2 linked regions of the Caenorhabditis elegans genome follow. The protein of the gene in region 1 interacts with the protein of each later gene in a pairwise test. Each region holds a gene or a part of one and is shown on either strand. Other genes may lie near its edges. The genes, in order: Y38H6C.8 and ZK1320.2.

The links.
Region 2: the proteins of Y38H6C.8 (region 1) and ZK1320.2 interact in a two-hybrid assay, tested with the Caenorhabditis elegans proteins (one large-scale study listed by BioGRID).

The regions. Positions count from the first base shown.
Region 1 is NC_003283.11:20,509,171-20,520,169, forward strand, and holds Y38H6C.8 (C-type lectin domain-containing protein), read left to right. Parts: upstream 1-4,790; 5' UTR 4,791-5,595; coding exon 5,596-5,678; intron 5,679-5,728; coding exon 5,729-5,847; intron 5,848-6,202; coding exon 6,203-6,477; 3' UTR 6,478-6,562; downstream 6,563-10,999. Other genes in the region: Y38H6C.25 (FTH domain-containing protein), read left to right, coding at 10,123-10,326, 10,617-10,892.
Region 2 is NC_003280.10:9,653,172-9,663,756, reverse strand, and holds ZK1320.2 (uncharacterized protein), read left to right. Parts: upstream 1-4,754; 5' UTR 4,755-4,758; coding exon 4,759-4,922; intron 4,923-5,064; coding exon 5,065-5,153; intron 5,154-5,258; coding exon 5,259-5,360; intron 5,361-5,408; coding exon 5,409-5,539; intron 5,540-5,622; coding exon 5,623-5,700; intron 5,701-5,745; coding exon 5,746-5,808; 3' UTR 5,809-5,875; downstream 5,876-10,585. Other genes in the region: ZK1320.5 (uncharacterized protein), read left to right, coding at 1-141; cyp-13A10 (Putative cytochrome P450 CYP13A10), read left to right, coding at 917-966, 1,010-1,477, 1,525-1,624, 1,671-1,970, 2,016-2,272, 2,320-2,463, 2,602-2,842; ZK1320.3 (uncharacterized protein), read left to right, coding at 3,342-3,505, 3,699-3,787, 3,887-3,988, 4,034-4,164, 4,236-4,313, 4,410-4,472; gstk-1 (Glutathione S-transferase kappa 1), read right to left, coding at 6,095-6,244, 6,296-6,757, 6,940-7,008; ZK1307.1 (Amidinotransferase), read left to right, coding at 8,226-8,234, 8,339-8,631, 8,689-8,764, 8,818-9,054, 9,102-9,326; ZK1307.2 (uncharacterized protein), read left to right, coding at 9,886-9,956, 10,004-10,251, 10,528-10,585.

The sequences.
Region 1 (10,999 bases):
CCTATGAATTTCGCGTAAACTAATCAAGTTTTGAGGTAAAAACACCTATAAAAAGAAGTTTTTGCGTAAGAAACGTAAAATTTTCCTAAAGTCACTAAAATTTTGGTAAAAAGACTAAAATTTTGCTAAAAGGCACTAAAATTTTAATTTTTATTGTCTTGTCATGGTTTTCGTGCGTTTTTGTAAAGCGTAATATTCTATTTCCAGAGAATGCATCGTCATCCACCCACATGGCTAGACGAAAACGATCGAGAGCTCTTCGGCACGCAAGGCTTGGACAATCGGCCGGGACCCAGTGCCCAGCCGGTCCAAGTCGCCGTCGAGCAAATTTTAAATGAAACGAATACTCCTGCTGATCCAGCAAATCCAAAGATGCTTATTTCGGAGCGACTTAAAGAGGTCCACGAAGGAGTCCTCAAGGATCTCGCCGAAGCCCTTCTCAACACGAAGAGACGTCTCACCCCGCCTTCACATAGAGCGCCCGGTGCCGGAGAAGAAGTCACTTTGGCCGCAATTGGAACCGATTACGCAAGAGGACCGACGTCCTTTGTAGAAGAGATGGAGTTCATCGACGTGAAGCTGGCTATCCAGAGCAACATCACTCGAGTCTTGGCTCATCGACAAAAGAAATTCCCGCCACAGAAACTTGCTTGGTTCCACATCATCGGAAAGATCACCAAGTTGGATACTCGTAAACCGCTGGCGTCGCTCAAGCTGACCAACGCCGCGCCACCAAGCATCATTATCGATTTCATGAACGAAAAGTTTGGATCACGTCTCTACTGGTTCAAGGTCTTCACTACCGGAGAGAAGTTCCTATCCACGCTGGAGCACTAACTAGGGAATGACCAGAATAAATGGAGCGATATTCAAAAAAAAAATATTGTATCGGAAAGCTGACATTCTCTACTATAAGAATATGACTGAAATTTTTGCCCGTTCGGGCTGGAAATCTGAAATTTTTACGTCTGAAATTATTCGTTTTGACGTGCTTTACTTATCACCATCCCCAATTAGTACTGCCTGCAACAGCGAGATGGCCGAGTGGATAGAGTGGATGACAAGCATGGTGGGACTCTGGGGTTCAATTCCACCCTAACGTAAAGTTTTTCAAAAATTTAAACGTGTTTTTTCGAAACTATATAAAAGCCCAAATTTTAATTTTTCTGATCGATATCAGCATGATCAATGTGTCGACCAACACCATAATGATTCATTCAACATCTTTTCCCCTAAAATTTAAACTTAACCATGGACCACTACAACCATGGATCCCCTCATATAAACAATTTTATTCATAGCGAAACTTGAATGTAATGCAATCATGAATTTATTAATTATTCAAGGAGATGAACAAAGATGTTGTTTTGACACAACAAAATGATTAAAACAAACAAACATCTTGCATCTTGCGCATCGGATGAATCCGAGATGGTTACATCCAGTGTGATAGCAAATCACTGTGTCACCATGATCAATGCAATATTGAGCTGGAGTCAAAAATGGTGTTGATGAAGTATTCGCAGCACCCACGTATCCAGCTTTCTTCCAACAATGCTGTAAAAACGGTCGGAAGTGCTCTGCCGAGATCTGGTGATACAACACAGATACCATGCAAATTGCGTTGTTCCTCTGTGCGATGACGTAATCGGTCTGGGTTCGAAGGGCATATGCTGTGAACTTCTTGATCAAGCTCTGGAAAATACTATCAAAAAGTTATAAAGATTTAAATTCATACCTTCCATGGCGCATTCCAATAGACATCCAACGGTTGGATCATTCCAGTTGTGTGCTCTGGAATGTTGCGAATGACGACATCATGACCATTGGGAACCAAGTTCTTGATCGTTGTATGGTCCTTGAACGCTGGCCAACTGTCCAGCATGATGTACAGTTTTTTCGGTACAGACGGAATGAAGACACAACTTTCGAAAAAATCGCACATCAATTGCTTCGTCATGATGTGTGTCTTGTATCCAGCCCGCACTTCCAAATTTGGGCAGTTTGGAATTGGACGAGACGGAGGAAACTGGCCTTTTGGTTCAGCGATTACCATAAACGCCTTGGGTCCCATTGAGCCATCGAGGAAAATCATCGGGAGAAACGTAAACGAGTGGGTCAGCGACGATTTCGATTGCGCCAACCTCTCGACTGTTTTTTCGCCCATAAAGGCTAAAGACCGGGCTGGATACAGCTCCTTTTGAATTCCGGTTTGGTCACAATTGAAGACCATCGACGGGTGATAGTTGGAGATCTCTGTTCTGGCATTCTTGACAAAATCATCCGCGTTTTTTTTGATAGCGTCTTTATTGATCAGGCACTTCCGTGTGACAAACTTGGTGACTCTCCGACTCACGATTCTGAAATTATATATATATATATATATATATATATATATATATATATATATATATATATATATATATGTATCTATATATCTATATATCTAACATACTCCGCAATTTATTACATACCTGTGGCTTTGCTTCCATCGGGTTATCCAGGATTGTGACGCTTTGAAGTTTTGCAACTTCATTTCGCGGGTGTTGATTTCCAGTGCCATAGCCATCAAATCAGAATCATGCAAATTGACTCCTGAAATATTTATATTAAAACTTGTTATATTAATGTTCGTTACCATTATCAAGTTTCTCCTTGACCTCCTCATAAAGCCGTTGTGTAAGCTGTGCCAAACGAACCCGCACGCTTTCTTGGAACGCTTTTTTATCTTTCTCGTACTTGCGCAGTTTGTTCATATGAGCATCGGTTCGTATCCAGCGATAACTATGGTGCATAGTCGTTATCGGCCTACTTCCAATTTTTCCGCTACGGTAGAAGGTGATCGCTTTATCCAACTTTTCCCTTGATACAGCTTTCTCACCGAACAATACATCATCTTGATCCGGCAACACACAGTCATACGGCTGAAAGGTTTTTTAAATGACAATTAATAGTGTCGAAACCAACATACCTCAAAAACTTCTGGCTCCCAATCGCCATATTCTTCTTGAACCAAATATTCGGATTCTTCCACACTGGTATCTCCATAATAAGATTCCTTTATAATGCTTGCCAAATGATCTGCCACCTTCTGCTCATGTCTCGAAATCGAGGGATTTGATGGGAGGGGATTGGGAAAATGACGATGCAAGGCAAACATCACGTTTCCGATATCAAAAGACATTGAATAAAAGAAAACCAATAGAATGTAAACTATTAAAGGGACAATTTCAGTGAAATTTATCAAAATACGAAAATAATAAAATTAAAAATTAGCGCCAGCTAACTATTTAGCAGAGCAAATACGTTTTGACCCAATATAAAAACAATAATATGAAAAAAAAAAATTAAAATAAAGTTTTACCAAATCGATATTGGCAAAACATCTTGTTTTTGAGGCTCCATATCTCTGCAGGAAAAAATCGCACTAAAAAGTGATTAACTGAAAACTTGTTAAACACAATGTAATCTAAAACTTTTCAGTTGAACACTTTTTTGTAAAAAATTTCGTTGCCAAGATATAGATCTTTAACTATTTAGAATATTCAAAAATAATGAAGCTCAAATCAATTGGTTCCAACTCGGCAACGAAATTTTTTACAAAAAAGTGTTCAACTGAAATGTTTTAGATCACATTGTGTTTAACAAGTTTCTAGTTGATCACTTTTTAGTGCGATTTTTTCCTGCAGAGATATGGAGCCTCAAAAACAAGATGTTTTGCCAATATCGATTTGGTAAAACGTCTTGATAAGGCATCAGAATCAATGATTCGGTCATTGAAAATAATGAAAAATAGGTTATTTGTGACACTCTAAAATATTTCATGCATTTTTAAAAAAATTTCAAAAAAAAATTTTTCGATCAAATTTTCTCATGGGTTTGGTGGAGAAAAAAGTGACAATTTTCGAAAAAAATTAAAATTTCTGAAAAGTTTCCAGGGTAATTATGGTTCAATTAAAAAGCAAAAAAATTATGTAAAACCCTCAAAAAAATGTTCTAAATACTTGTTTCCCGTTCTGAAAATTTTGTATAAAAAAGGCCAAAAGTTAAACCATGTATGGGAACCGAACACACAAACTTCTGCTCAAGAGGCGAACGCGTTCACCACTCGACCACCGAACCGATGTTTTCGCCCTTCCACCATTGTGGTGAGACTTCTGTTGGCGCCAGAGACAAAAATCCACTGTTAACCATAGGAAATGCACTGATTTCAGTGTAGAATTTCAGACGTAAAAATTTCAGATTTCCAGCTCGAACGGGCAAAAATTTCAGTCATATTCTTATAGTAGAGAATGTCAGCTTTCCGATACAATATTTTTTTTTTGAATATCGCTCCATTTATTCTGGTCATTCCCTAGTAAGGTATTAGTACGTAAGCACTAAGTTTTATAAAAGTTTCTCATGGTTAGACGGCAGAAACTCTTAGGGCCTGTTAACACAGCCTACCTAAAGAACCTTATACTTTTGAGGACCAGGGACGGTCCTGAAAGAAAGGGGGGAGGTGTAAGAGTTTCCGCGTCTCCCCATGCTCGGTACAATTCCCCACATTTATTATTGTCTTACAGGTCCAGCAAGTGCTGCCGTAGCGGGTAACATCACGGTTATCCGGCCAGAACCGCTGCCAAAGACAACGACTAGACTTGCCAACGTTCATCAATGCACGCTGCAAGTGCGCTCCACCGGACGGCGCGCGGATCTGAATTGCCGGCGCCAACTCTAATTGTCATCGTTCTCGAATGTTCTCTCCCCCTCCCTTTTCCCCTATAAAAGGAGCGGTTTCGCTCATTCGAGGCCTTTTTCCTTTACTTTTAACCCGTTGTCACGTGTTCGCTGTTTGCCCCCAACAAACTGCTTTTCTGTAAATTACTTTATTAACTAATAAACCTGCTCATGACAAGCCATTCTTACTATATCTCCGCTCTTCTTCTCCTCTTACAAACCTGCACTACAGAGCTTGTCTTTTCTCGTGAGAGATAACTAAAAAATATATGATAATCTCTCGATGTCTTTCTTTATTATCACTAACCTGAAAACTACATTTGGAGGGAGCTCACATCTTTCGCCTCCTGTTTTCTTATTGTCTCTTTCATCGTGAAAACCACAGATATATCTGAAAACTTATCTCATAGTAATAAACTCTCATTTCCCTATACTATTTTTACGAAGCTTCGATGAGGACTACATTTGGAAGAGTGAACTCATCGTCTCGTCGAACCCCACACTATTTCCGATAGTGTTTTGATCTCTGGCACTATTAACTCTTGACATACAGAAAACTATCGTATTACCTGAATCTCTCCAATATTTCCAAAAATCTCACATTATCGTTTCTTGATTGATAATAAAAAGAGATGCTATGACAATCAAGAATAAATTAATTCAAAGAAGGGTGGTGGAATTTGAAATTTCAATGCCTCGAACAACCAGACTATCTTGTTCATGCACCAATTTGTTACAAAACTCATGAAATTATGAAATATGGATGATTAAAATTTTTGTGATAAGTAATCACTACGGGAAGAGGCGCGGTTTCTACAAACACATATAAATAGAAGCTGATAAGATGAGTTTCTCCGCTGAGGAAGGTTCAAAATTATGCTTCGCTTATTTATCATTGTCTGTCTAGTGTGCTCTGTCGCGCCGGACTGTGTTCCGGGAGATGTTGGATTTGGAGATTCGTAAGTGAAAAGAGTTTTGTGGGACAGAAAACTGAATTGGAGAGTTCCAGCTGCTACTCGTTCAACCGTGTTCATGGAAAGTTCAAGGATGCCAACGATTTGTGTGTAAAGATGTTTGGAGGGAGTCTGGTAAAAATCACGAATATTATCGATAACAATTGGATGCAAAGTGAGATTTGTAAATTAGACGGGAACTACATGGTCTAATGGCGGGTGAAGCTAGCTAGGAATGGTATAGACAGACATATTCTAGCTCCAGCAACTTAATCAAGATAGATTAACATCGCATGCAAAATCTATCATGAAGAAAATCGAAACATTTTAACTTCCAAGCGTAGAAAATGTAAAAATAGCTAGATATTTTCTTTGAACGAGCTTTGCTAACTGATTCTTACCGCTTTCTATCACTAATGCCATGTCCACAGTTAGCATCGAAATTTGACAGAAGTCTGACTATAGTTTGCCCGATCCTTGGCTACCAATGAGTACCTCCTTCTTCATAAAAATGTTTAACATTTTTCCAGAACTGGCGGTAAACCACCTCGACGCCGACTACAACTCTTTTTGGATCGGAGCCAGCGACGCTGCCCACTACACCAATTGGACTTGGATTGACGGGAGCCCAATGCGATTCTCCAATTGGGGACCAGGACAGCCACTTGAAGATCGGCACTGCGGAACTATGCTCATTTCGACTGGAAAGTGGTTTTCCCAAGTGTGCGATGAAAGGATCCAGTTTCTGTGCCAGTATCCCAATGGGGCATACTCTCCAACATGCCCTCCGTGCCTAGAGATTTGATGATTTAAGTTTTTTTTATTACAACAAAGTACCTCTCATGTTAATAAATTACCTCACATTGTTTAATGGAAACAACATTCGAAAAAAAAACATTTTAGATTGTTATTTGATTTGGTTTAAAGTTTTCAGATTTTACATTTTCTCTAAAGCGTAGGCACATGTTTAGAAATAAGATTACAACGTTGAACTAGGATAAGGCTTATGCTTGTGGGCTATGCTCAGGCCTCTCACCTTGTTTCACTTAAGGCAGGCATATGATTGAGCTAGGCTAGTGTAACGGCGTAAGCTCAAGTTTCATCTTTAGGCTTAGGCTTAGACCTAAATTTAATCTCAGCTTTCTACCTCAGTTTTCTTAAAAGTTCCAGGAACAAACTTGCCCTTCCGCTTTAGAAGTCTCTTTTCACGTGGTGCCAGGATGTCCCATTACGGTTTGATCTACAAAAAATGCGTGATTTTTTTCTCAAAAAATGTGACGTCAACACGTGCTTAACCATGCGAAATCAGTTGAAAAGCATGCGTCTCAACTCCCGCATTTTTGTGGATCTACGTAGATCAAACCGAAATGAGACACTCTGACACCACGTGTCTTTTCAATATGCCTGTATCATATTATAACAACAATGACAAATTTATTGTGTACTATCAACTATTATTACTGATCGTTGTTGTCATAAATGCTTCGGAACCGCTCCCTATCGAAAATTTCTCCGCAAAGCTCGCTGTGCTCGTGTGACGTCCAAAGTGTGATCACCAATACTTTTGTCTCATCTTCCATGTCGAACGCTTGGCGGTGTGAAACATAATGGTGTTGACTGAAATTGCAATTTCAATAAAATTGGCCTCTAGGTTAATATGTTAATGTGCTTACTCATAACGATGAGGATGATGGACAGCCGGAACATCGAATTCCTTGAGAAAATCTTGAATTTTCCATTCTTGGCCGGTGGAGATTTTGAAGAACGATCCGAGGGGCAAGTTGGATCTTGCACGGAAGCTCTGGAAGAATTTCGAAGTTTAAATGGCGTAACTCTTAATACTTTGTTTTTTGTTCACTTTATTTTTTTATACTTATAGTTAAATGCTCAAAAAATAATCTATAATAACATTGTTGCTTTATATGGGCTACTACAAACTTTGAAAATCAGCATACTCTACCACGGTTAGATTTTTGCGAATTTGACTAGAAAATCCAAAAAATTGAAAAGAAAATTATTTGAAGTTTCTACAAATTTCAAAAACTCACTGTAATCACTTTCCACGCTTCATCCGGTCTTAGAACTTGCATCGAAACTTCAAGCTTCTCCGCATCACAGCATCCAGGTCCAGCTGGAAAGTCCCATCAAACCCTTTGTATAACTGAAAATTACTTTCTGCGATGAGCATATATTGTTTGCAGGCCTTGAACTGCTCGGTGTTCTTAATCTCCGCGTAGTCCTTTCCTGAGATACGGCCCACTGCGATCTTTTCCAGGTGCCCCGGTTCAAAAGCTTTCAGGACTTTTCCGATCCACTTGTAAGCGGCCTGATTGCTCCTGACCCAGAGCTCCTTGGCTCGGATTTTGACGCCAGTCCTTGCAAGTTCGGAGACCAAAATTGGCATAATGTTACGGTGAGTTGATCTGTAGGGAAAATCCAACTCTACACATTTTGCAGTAGTTCTCGGATTCGCGAAGATTCGGCAGAAAGTTGTGACAGCGCCGACTCCGATGGCTGTTCGATTTTTGAGATTGTCGGTCTTCAGAACTTTGAAATTCCATCTATTTATCGACAGGCACAAGTATTGCTTGGTTTCCTCATCGTTTTTCGCTGAATTTTCAACGCTTTTTTATTTGGAAAATGAGGTTAAACTGGTATACCTTCGAAGATTCTCAGCTTGTCGAAGGAATCAGCTATTTTATCGACCAGCTTCATTTCGACGGTGGAGCACTGACGAATGTTGTTTCTGAAAACATAGAAATCAATAAAAATTAAATTTCTAGGATTTGTTTTGCTAGTTATTAACAATCAAGATTTATCTACGAGAATTTTCGTATTTTTTTGAATTTTTTATCTTCCAGGAAGTGTGAAATTTCAGAAAAATTGGAATTTTTGAATACTTTCGAATTCTTGAAACCAAAAAAAACTGAAACTTTGATTTTGAAAGACTTGTTTTTAATTTCCGAATATTTGGGGTTTTCAGATATTTTAAATAAATTTTGTAAAACTTTAATCTTTTGCGAATTTTCAAAAAAATAAAAAAGGTCTTACCTATCCTCAAAACTCAAATTCCCGATCACCATTCTCTTCGCCACTTCTGGGAGCATCGGCCATTGCTCGAATCTTGTGGGTCCTTTTTTTGCACGGACCGCTCGGTACGCCGGGTCCTTTACGGATTTTCTTCGTTGGGTCATCACTTTTGATAATTTAAAACTAAAAAAATAAAATTTAAAGATTATTTAAAAAGAATAAGAGTAAAATAAATAAAAAACGCGAAAAATCAAATCGATCTGGGGACAGAATAGGGAATATGCAAGAACATGCAAGAAATGGAGACCAAGGGAGAATGAGAGGGGTGGAGGGTGTGAGAGAAAGAAAGGAACTCTTTGGGAACACGGGGAGGCAAACTTTACGTACATACACTAATTTCTACAGTAGTCGCATTTTTAGAATGGATTTATCTCGAAAACGGCTCAAATTTTTTGGAAGTGATGCATATGAAAAATGTTCTACAGAAAATTCTCTATTTAATGACACCAATGAATTTTTTGTTGATACCCTCTCACCAGTGGTATGCTCATTGAGCAGTAGAGCGCACTTTCTCGGACGTACCGTTTGCCTCCCCGTGGGAAGAGAAGAGGTCACCAGCCGTATGGTCTATGAATAGCCGAGCCAACTAGACAGACTGCACGCGGGGTCGTTTCGGTTTGATCTACAAAAATGCGCAAATTTGTAGCCCATAAAAATGACGTCAGCAAGTTCTTACCAATGAGAAATCAGTTGAGAACTCTGCGTCTCAACTCCCGCATTTTTTGTAGATCGACGCAGATCAAACCGAAAGGGGACACTCTGATACCACATGAGACGACTGTTCATAATTTCAAATCATACAATTAGTGGTTCTCATAATTTTTCGGGTTTGCAAGTTTTTACTTTGAATTGTAAAAATCAAGTACAGGGAACAGTTAAATTAAAACCAATTTAGTTTTAAAAAATTTAGTTTAAAAATTAAAAATAACATTCCTCCAAATTATCATATACATGAATCGCAGAAAGAGAAGAAAATTTAATGAAATACATTAAAATTGGAACACCGTGTAAACTCCCTTTTCTTGGGAGGTTAGATGAGCAGGTGTGTTACTGTAAGCGGCGAATCGAACTATCTCTATTTGTTGTGTAGACAAAGTTGAACATAATTCAGGGGTACGTGATGATTTGTGTGTAAATTCAGCAACTCTCTGATTTCACATACATGCACATTTCTAGCCCCGACGTCAGTAATCTCCGGGGAGACTTCCCACACATACCCTTGCACCTTTTGGCTCCTGTTGCCCACGGCGCCACCGTCAAGCCCTCCTCTCATTTGTACCTTGTCTGCGTTTATAGCTTCTTTATTCTTCTGTTTGTTACTACTCGCAGCTTCTGCTTCGATAAGCTGAAACTGAGAGAAATGTCCGATTTCTTCAAAATCGAATATAAGAAGGCGAATGAAGGCCCTCCACTGATCTTGAACACATACAAACGGAAATTCACGAATGCTCTCAACGTATATGTGCACAGTCTAAGAAAAACTGCTCGGCAACTGCTCGTTCAGGACAATATACAAGTTCAGTTGGATTGTGCGGACTATCAACTCATTGAGTGCATTATTAATGTAAGTATTGGAAAAAATCAATGTTAGGAATTTTAGAAATTACTGTTTAGTCAGTAATAAGGGTACTGCCAAAATAGCCAGGGACTCTAACTTTTCTCCTGTCTCGTTGAAACGGGAGTCTTGACAGGGTCCATCCACTAAAGTAGTGAGCTTCTGAGAATTTGCCCATTTTCCGTTTAGTGCTATGTCACAGGTCACAAACCACAAAATTGACGGATATAAAAAATTAGCCTAACATATAATTAGTATATCTGAATGTAAGAAGATGAAGAAAACCATGAAAATTTCAGCTTCGTCGTCACGAAACCCCTCTCCTAACATCCACGTTCAACATCAACGTTCTTGAAAAAATGGACTTAAGCCCATTTATGAATAAAACCGACACCGTCCAAACTAACACGAACAAGGTTTTTCTTCACATTCCATTTATGAAAGGCAACAAACACAATCTGGAACACATTATGATCGTTCGACTGACCCCGTGGCATATCAGCGGAAAAGTCATCAAAACTCCGAAAACCATCGAAGAGCTCAGATTGGCGTTGCACAATTCATTCGAGATTTGAAGTTTTTTATGTGATGATTTTGTTGAGTCAGTAATTAGCTGTTCTTTTTTATTGGTTGCTATTAGTTTCAAGTGTTTGTTGATCCTATGTCTACCTCACATAGAATC
Region 2 (10,585 bases), on another chromosome or scaffold:
AAAGATCCTAATTCAATTACGTCTTCCGGAAGTCTAGCTAAGCAAAGTACAGCTTCAATGGGCAGTGGTGGAGCTTCGGGTATGATGATGTTCCACACGAGGCCTAAAAGTTCGGTACCATCGATGGGATCTGTTGGGTGATCAACATATAGATACTATGTATTTTAATTATTCGTTCATCGGCAATTCTAATAAATGTTATCTTTTTGAGTTTAAGTTTTTCCTGTCTATACATTCCTGTACCATATGATAGTGAGACATGTCTATATAAATGTCTGACTAGATCTCGTGAATGAATAACAAAAAGTTGGTTATTGGCCATCTATCATAACAAAATAGCAAAGTTAATCAAATAATTGAAACAGATCAGAGCACAATTTGTGTTAAATATCAACAGCAGGGTTAGGTAAAACTTTCGGGTTAGGAATACATTAATATCTAGTCATTTCAACCACATTTTTATATACATATGAAAGTACGTTTGAAAATTTGCTGACTTATTGTAAGATGTGCTTGTTATTTTATCAAAAATACTTGATTTTTTCTGGTTTCCACTAGATTTGACTTTCTTGCGCAATATGACACAAAGCCTTGCCCACAAAAATGCCTGGCAATGTTACTTCCAGAGTTGCTAAACTAAATTAAGTTAATCGGTGATTTCTTCAAATCTGCAGACCAAACTCCAGAAACTGGCTACAGGATAGACTAGAGTTAGTGGTCTTGATATCATCATTGTAATCCAATTACTCACTGATTCTGCGCAAGGAGTCACAAAATCGTCGAGACGGAGACACAAAAAGTGTGTCAGATAGTTGCCGTTTTTGTGTCCGATTTCTTGTAAATATAAAAACAAATTTTATTTTTGGAAATATTTGTTTAAAATATACAGACTTCGTTTACAAGAAAATACAACTAAATGAGTGTTATTTTACTTGCTATTCCAACTTTGTTCATTGGTTTTATCAGGTATTTTTTATTTATTTCTCAAAGCTAAATATATTTATTTAAGTTACTACCTCTGGATATGGACATATTGGAGACGGCGTGGTATCCCTGGACCTCTAGGTTATCCATTAGTTGGAAGTTTTCCAAAAACTCTCAAATCAGAATATCCTCAATACTTACAAATCAGAGATTGGACAAAACTTTATGGTCCAATATATGGATACACTGAAGGAACCATTAAAACTCTAATTGTTTCTGATATCGACATTGTTCGTCAAATTTTTGTTGAGCAGTATGACAACTTCTATGGTAGAAAACTGAATCCAATTCAAGGTGATCCGGAAAAAGACGAGAGAACTAACTTGTTCTCGGCTCAAGGATTTAGATGGAAAAGGCTCAGAGCTATATCTAGTCCTACTTTTTCGAATAACAGTTTGAGAAAAATCAATGTAACTGTGGAAGACAGTGCGATGGAATTATTGAGACATATTGAAGAACAAACTTCGGAGGGACAACAAATTGATATGTTACAGTGAGTTTTCGATGTATTGGAAAAGTAATTTAAATTTTAAATTACAGATTCTACCAAGAGTTCACAATGGATACTATAGGACGAATTGCAATGGGTCAGACCGACTCGCAAATGTTCAAAAATCCACTTTTGAAGTTTGTCAGAGCGGTTCGTTTTGGTACTATTACCAGTGAAATTCAACATATATTTCCAGATATTCGGAGATAATCGAAAGCATATTCCCCTCATCGGTGGAGTTTTTCCTACTCTTGCTCAAGTTTTTCGATTTTTTATGTTGAAATTTCCATTGTTGGGAGCAGCCAATTTCATTCACGTCAACAAAACTGTTGTGACAGCCGTTCAAAATCGTATAGATCAGAGGGAGAATGATAGAAAAAATGGAATTGAAATCGGAGAGCCACAGGATTTTATCGATTTATTTTTGGAAGCAAGAGCAGATGATGTGGAGCATTTTCAAGAGAATAATGGGGATTTTTCAAAGACTAGTAGCTATGTGAGTTTCAGGAGAAAAATTATTCCTGAATTTAAAAAATTGCAGGGAAACCGTCAACTAACAACTCAAGAAATAGTCGGTCAGTGTCTCGTTTTTTTGATTGCTGGCTTCGATACAACTGCTCTATCCTTATCCTATACTACATTTCTCCTAGCAACACATCCAGAAGTTCAAAAGAAATTACAAGAAGAAATAGAACGAGAATGCATAGAACCATCAATTTCATTTGATCATCTCTCAAAACTAAAATACATGGATTGTATTATCAAAGAGACTTTACGTTTGTACCCTTTGGGAACAATGTAGGAGTTTTAAATTTATACTTCACATAAAAAAACAATTATTCCAGGGCGAACTCTCGGAGATGCATGAGAGCCACTAAATTGGGAAATGTAGAAGTTGAAGTTGGAACAATGGTTCAAGTAGATACTTGGAGTCTTCATACTGATACAAAGATTTGGGGAGATGATGCGAAGGAGTTCAAGCCAGAAAGGTTTTTTTTTCAAAATTAAAAAATATATTCAGATGTATTATTGGCTTAATTTTTGAAAGTTTTAAAAAGCGAATCACTTTGGAGAGTATTCCACCTTTTAAATTATTTAGTAAGAGATCCTACTAGTTATTATTTCAGATGGCTTGACCCCAACTGTGACCAAGTTTTCCAAAAAGGAGGATATATTTCATTCGGATTAGGACCTCGTCAGTGCGTTGGAATGCGATTGGCTTATATGGAGGAAAAGATGCTCTTGGCTCATATTCTTAGAAAATATACATTTGAAGTTGGCACCAAGACAGAAATCCCATTGAAATTAGTTGGAAGAGCCACGACTCAACCGGAAACTGTTTGGATGCATTTGAAGCAAAGGATATGAACTCAATAATTTTCGACCCTCTTTGTTTGTATTTTAGTCATCGAAAAAGCTTTCAAATAAAACTTTCTTGCTTTTTAGAGTCTGAAAATGTTCAGCCTATTTTCTGAGAAACTCGTCTATCCTTTAATTGAAGAACAATTTTGAAAAACATATCAGACTAATTTGGTATTTCTACTAATTTTACTCGCATAAACTTTTGAATCATCTGATTGTGAGCAATATTGGATCAAGAAATCAGTTTTGTTAAGCTGCTGGCTCCCCGGAATCAATGCTCATAAACTTATCTGTAAACAACTTGTCCTTTAACTTTTCCAGTGATATCATTAGTGCTTTCCCATTTTTCTATTTAATATTCTTATCACTATAACTGAATGTCAAAAGAAAACGCTCATAATTTAAAAAACGTCAGTTTTAGACTGATAACTCTCTCCACAATTCATACTAATTTGACCATTTGCTACTTAAATTTTTTGAAGCATATATTTATATTTTCAGGAGAATGAAGTTTCTTCTTATTGCTTGTTTGGCAGTTCCTGCAATCTTAGCTCAACAGACGTCTGCTCCAGGTGGAAATTTGTGTACTTATCCTCCACAAGGAGATGAATCAAACCAAAAGGCTGTTCCTATTCAGGACTTCAGAACGTCTGGATTAGATTTCGTTAGGTCAGTTTATGTTCAAAAATTGGAACAGCTTTAGTAATGATTGGTTTAGGCCGCGGCCAAGTTATGTTGAGCCAACTCTTGATGGTCTTACTAGTTAGACCCAGAAAAATACTTTGGCAACAGTGGGATACTAAACGATTACCAATTTTTGAACCACATAAATAGCCGAATATCTTAATTTAAAAAGTTTCAGACCAAATTGGTGCATCACCCACTGTGCTGACCGCAAATCTGTCAAAGCTGCTGTTCGCTTCCAATTTGCCAATCAGTCAACTGCAGTCCGTAAGTTAACATAGATCAGTACACTAAAGTACATGTAAAAACATTTGGAACATTATGAAAATACCAGTAAACATCCTAGAATTTAATGGGAATTTTCAGCAACCTACAAAGTTCGCCGTACTTTCACCCGTTATTCAGGAATGAAGGTTCATGCTGAGCTGATCAGCGGAAACCCGACCAAGCGTGACGATGATCCTTTTAGTAAGTGATTTCATCTTATGGTATAAATACATGTCAAAATTTCAGACTTCTGTATGGACGATGCTGTGTCGGCCCAGATTGATACTATTGTCAACACCTACAATGACATCGAAACCATGTCAGAAGCCCTCAACTTCTATATCAACAAGCCAGGATGGGCGTATATTATTTACGATGTAAGTTACACAAGTTTTTTTTTGGAAAATATATAGGTGTCTACTATTTCTACTTGAATACATATATTCAGATGGGAGTACCACCAAGCATCATTGAGACTGACAATGTCAAACACGATATGAACTACTGTGAGAAGTCTTCTAACAAGGTAAGTACTCAGAAAATGTTGTAAAATGCAACAAAACCAGACCTGCAAGTATCCGAATTAGAAATTAGACCTCACCAAATTTTACAAATTTTTCAGCAAATGCCGGATGGAACCTACATGACATATCAAGTATTCGCAGGACTTATCAAGGCTAATTGATTTTTTTCTTTTAATTTTTAATAAACGATTTAACTATTTAAAGTTTTACATTGAATATTTGATTCTTATTATTCTCAAAATGAAATCATTAGTGATTTTTCAATATTTAATTTTCCACTCTTTATTTTCCGTTATCAACACATTCAACTGGCAAAAGAGGAGGCCGGTGATGTGGAAAATTTCAGTTTTTAACTGATAACTTCCGATAATTTGACCATTTGCTACTCGCTTTGAAACGTTTTTGAGTATAGTTTCCTTTTCATTTTTATCGAGAGTTTTTAGGAAAATGAAGCTTCTTCTCCTTGCCTGCTTAGCAGTTCCAGCAATTTTTGCTCAACAAACTTCTGCTCCAGGAGGAAATTTGTGCAATTATACTCCAGTTGGAGATGAATCCACACAGGATGCAGTTCCAATTCAAGATTTCCGATCCTCTGGATTGGATTTTGTGAGGTTAGTATATTCCTTTTCAAGATTAAATTAAGAATTCATGTAAAGTCAGAGTGTCTGATCTAGAATTGTTTTATCCTTTTAATCAATAATTTTAAATTTAATTATTCAAATCCAGATGAAAAAATCCATTTCTACTTTTCAGACCAAATTGGTGCATCACTCACTGTGCTGACCGCAAATCCGTCAAGGTTGCTGCACGTTTCCAATTTGCCAATCAGTCAACTGCAGTTCGTAAGTTAGCGTTCAAAAAATATTGAAAGCCACTTCCTAGTTTTGAAAAATATAATTGAAATAAAATATGTGGAACTTTATCTAACTCATTTTCATATATTTCAGCAACCTACAATGTTCGCCGTCACTACACCCGTAAATCTGGAGTCAAGGTTCATGCTGAGCTGATCAGCGGCACTCCAACCAAGCGCGATGATGATGATTTCAGTGAGCTCCTCTTTTTCTAGAGTAAACCTGAAATTCATTTGTTTTCAGATTTCTGCATCGACGACACTGTTTCTGCAACAATCGATACGGTTGTTAAGACTTACAATGACATCGAAACCATGTCAGAGGCTCTCAACTTCTATATCAATAAGCCAGGATGGGCTTATGTCATCTATGATGTAAGTCATATCAGAATCAGAATTGGCTCACTGCTGATAAAATCCAAAAATTCAAATCCGAACTTTAACCCTATCCATTTAAGATGGGAGTTCCACCAAGCGTCATTGGAACCGACAATGTCAAGCAAGATATGAACTACTGCGAGAAGTTTGCCCAAAAGGTACACTTTTATTATCTAAAGTAGATAAAGCTTTTCTACTTTCAGCAAATGCCGGATGGAACCTGGGGTTTGTATCAAGTGTTCGCCGGATTGATCAAGGCCAACTGATTTGTGATTTTTTGGGTTTTTCCCACAACTAACAGTGCAGATGTAATTTGAATAAAACTTTGAACATATAATTAATTTTCTGGAATATTTTACAGTTCGTAAAATTGAAAAGTAACCTAGAGTGCAGCCAACTAAAAGATTTTAGATTCAAATCTTTTTGGAATTTTTCTTTGTAGTTTTTGAATCTATGATTATGTCGATTGTCAGACTGTTTCAGAGAGAGTTAATTAAAAATATTTACCCAATTTATTCATATATTTAGCGCATCTTATCTTACAACAAATATTTAAAGTTTTGATTTCTGGCCAAAAAGTCGGTCTGGAAGCGGTTGTGGCTGTTGAAGAAGGTCGGCAATCAAATGGAAACGGTCTGATCCAAAGAATGAATGCTCCGATCCATCTTCTGTGTGCACATTGATCCATGGAGCACCATATGCCTGAAAAAGTAAAATTGCCAATTTTTTTTAATTCAAAGATGAATAACTTACCATCAAATCAACTCCCTTATTCGTATTCTCCATCAAAATCTTTATATATTTCTCATCCTTGCTCTTTTCCACAATTTGCTCCGGATTCTTAACACCAACTGCCTTCAATACTTCCACAAAGTCTTGATCCTCAAAAATCTTCTCACTTCGAGACCACAATCTGACCCACATTTCCCGAGCTGCTCGGAGCATCAGCTCCTTATCCTGCTCCTGCAAAACCAACAAAACCTTCATTGCTCCAGTAGTACGGTACTTTTTGATCCATTCCATGAACAATGGTGGTGGAGTCAATGGAATATCCCAGAACTTTGCAGTTCGCTTCAAATCAGTCATCATCATAATTGATCGAGCTGGGAGCATTGCTGGAGGACGATTTCCTGATTCTTTCATGACGGCTCCGAGGAAAAATGGAATGTAACGGATTGTTACTCCTTTCCATTGGGTTTCCAGTTTTTGGAAGACCTGCAATTTATCATTGCATAATTTCTATAACTATAATAAATTTACGAATTTTAAAACTAAAAAATATTATTGTACCGTAACACTGTTCAAAAAAAATTCCTGACTTCCTAGGATAAGAGAACCATCGACACATGCGTACAACCACAGTTTTTTATGTAATATCGTATATAAAAAAAACCAACCTCAAAAGCAATATAACTGTACGGAGAAATCACGTCAAAATAAAAGTCGATACGTGGAAGTTTTGGCATTTTCCAAAATTAATTCGAATTTTTGGGCACGGCGAACGGAAATCTGCAAGACAAAAATCCGTAAGTTGAGTGTAGATTTGGAAAAGATGTTTTGAAAAATATTCGCGGGAACGATAAAGTAGATCAAAGTTATATTTTCTGCAATTTTTCTTTGAGAACCCGTTTAAAAAATTAAATAAAAATTGCACAAACAACCGTGTGGTTTTATAAGTTTTCGAGACAACGAACTGTGATCTATGTTCGGTTTGCAGTGATAAGAAAGTGGGAAATGAAGATAGATGCAAAAATAACGTGGGAAAATAATAGTTCTAGAGAAGTAAAGCAACGTGGTGACTTGTTCCACACCGTGAGACTACACTGTAGCTTGTATCGGGAAAAAGATACGCAGAGATGACAGACAATCTGGTTTCTCTGCGTCTAGCTCTCTTGGTTTGAATGATGCATTGGGGAAACTACAAGAATACCTTGGATATTTGGAAAACGCGTATATCAATTTCTTAACCTTTCAAAAATTAAAGCTTTTCTGGATACCTGGAAAGTCCCAATTCGCGTTTTTTACATGGAATTTTCATAAAAGCTTTCTTTTAAAAATGTTTATTTTCTTTTTCCATTGACATATTTTGCATAGCAAGGATCTTTGGAGCTTTTCAAAGCACAAACCTTTGGAATTCATTTGCCGGTGTCTTTTGAGTACCTGCACCTGACACCTGGCACCTGACACCGAGAAAACATTTTTCCTGTGATCATAATTCATTTGGAATTTTTATCAATCAAGATCTGCAATCACAATATGTATTGTGACGTAATAAGGCCATCAAGACATATTGAAAGATTTACAAGGGTTCGGGGAAGAAGGAGGGAGGATAATAAAATGACCACGGGTGTACATTGTTATTCTTTTATTTTTATTTTCTCGCGCGTTTTTGGTTCTACTTTTTGAACTATCTAGTTTAACATTCAACTTCCTCCTTGAATATTTGTTAAATTTCTAAAGTTACGACTAAAAATTGTTTGAAAATTTAAATTTTTTGTCAGGTGTTATAATTTTTGAAAGTTTGAACTTTTTGCAGACTAGCTGCTAACACCTTTATACCAATATTTGATAACAAATCGTATCAATATAAAAACTGATAAGATACTAGTTAGCTCGGTGCATCATTTCAATTTCGAGTAGACTATTAACAATAGTTATTTGATATTGAACCTGCTATATAATAATGTCTGATGTGAGTTTGGACCTATTTAATTGTCAGTTTGGAAATTAGAAACACTGGTTTTACTTTTTGAGTTAAAATGATTTTGAAAACTAATTAAACAATTGAATTTTCAGTCTGAAACAATGTCTGCTGCAAAATCTGCTGCCCATATTCTGAAGAGAGTGTTGATGGTTCCACCAAAGCATTTCACAGTCGAATACACAATCAATCCATGGATGGGAGGAGTTGTTGACAAGCAAAAAGCTCATCAGCAATGGAATTCTTTGAAATCTGCAATCGAAAACGCTGGTGTTCCAGTTTTGACAATGGAGCAAACAGAGGGTCTTCCAGATCAAGTTTTCGTTTGTAATAGTGGATTGGTCTATGATGATCAGGTTTACTTGTCCAGATTCAGGCATAAGGAAAGGTGAGTTTGAAAAAAGAATAAAGGAAATTGTGTGTGAAACATTTTATGTTTTTACAGAAGCGGTGAGCAACCACTCTACTTGGAATGGTTCAAGAAGAACAATATCAAAACTATTGGGGAAGGATATGAAGAGGTATAAATTTGCCAGAGAATTTTTGTTCTCCATTTTGAAACATAAAATTTCAGATCTTCGAAGGCGGAGGAGATGCTGTATTTTCTGACCGTAAAACTCTTTGGGCTGGTTATGGAGAGCGTAGTTCAAAGTCTGTCTACGAGAAAATCAAGGCACTCGGGACTTTTGATATTGTTCTCTGTGATATGATTCTTCCAAACTTTTATCACTTGGACACTTGTTTTGCTCCAGTTGATGAGACCAGCGCCCTCTACTACCCACCTGCATTCTCTGAGGCAACCAATAAGGAGGTGAGTTTTTTTTTGAAATCCCTAGTTAAAAAACTTTTTGTGTGCAGATCCTCCGTCGTCTTCCAAACTCGATTGCTGTCTCCGAAGCTGAAGCAAATGCTTTCGTGTGCAACGCCATCACTATTCGTGATACCGTAATCTCCCCAATCGGTGTCTCTCAAGCAACCAAGGATTATCTGTCGGCTCGTGGAAAACGTGTCGAAGAAGTTGATATGAGTGAATTTATGAAAAGTGGTGGAGCTTGTCAGTGCTTGGTGCTCAGATTGCTCTAATTGTGATAGGATGAATTGATGGCTGGATATTTGAATTTTTATAGTGAATCTTTGATGAAGTTTTGAATAAATAAAGCGTTTACTGGAATATTTCAAATTGGAGTGTTGGCTTTCAAAAAGCCGTCTAAAAAATTGAGAGTTTGGTTGAGCTTAAGCCAAAAAGAGTCAAGTAAAAAAGATGCTATTATAATATAGCATTGTGAAGCTATCGAGAAATCAGTGTTGTACGTAAAATTTTTCAAAAAAAAAAATTCTGATTTTTCTCTCACTTCACTGCTTTACCGTTAAAGTACGGATTCCCGAGTTAAATTTCAAGTTAATTTTAAATTCAGATAAGTTTTGAACCTTTTCAGCTTTCAATTTGTATGATCTTCATTGGAAAATATAACCACAAAAATCACATGAGAAAGATACTAGAACCGGTAGGAGGGTAAGGGTGGCACTGAGAAATTCTAGAATTGTAATGTTACAACTGATCACTTTTCTTCTCATCTCTCTTTTGGGTATTTTGTTGTGGTATTCATTTCTAGAAAAAATATTATATTCTGTATTTCAACAAATGAAGAAGATTACTTTATTATCTGGAATTTTGTTTCTTATTGGATATTCTGATGCAGAGGTTTTTGAAAGGTTATTGTTTAGTTTAGTTTTTTCTTTTATATTTCAAGAAATTTCAGTCAAAATGTTCGAGTTAAACGGAACGATTTCACAAACAACTATGGCTATGGACCATTCGGAATAGGACCTACAAATGGAGGATTTGATAGTTATGGGTTTTATAGAGACAAGTTCTATAATTCAGGACTTCCTCCACTTTATTCATTTGCTTCTTATCGTAATTATTATCACGAAATTTCATTCCACAAGAACAAATACGGACAGCCAGCGCCTACGGATTTCGAAACTTTACAGCAGGAAAGATACGGTGAGTACTTACAATATATTGAAAATATGTTTTTTTTTCTTCATATGTCTGCCCGATTTCTACAAGAAAAGTATTGAACATCACTGCTAATATATAATATATTTGTGGTACAGTAGCTGCAAACTTTCACTCTTCTCAAGACCCAAATCTCCTCATTTGCGCGCGTATTGAAAATTTCAGAAAGCCTTAAATTGTAAAGTCGAAATAAATTATCGAGCTCATTGTTCATCTGGATTATTTTTAAAAACCTCAAGACCTAAATATTCGAATTTTCAGGACCATATTACGATGGAGTCTGGGGATACGCGGATCATTCGAAAAATTGGTTTGGAAA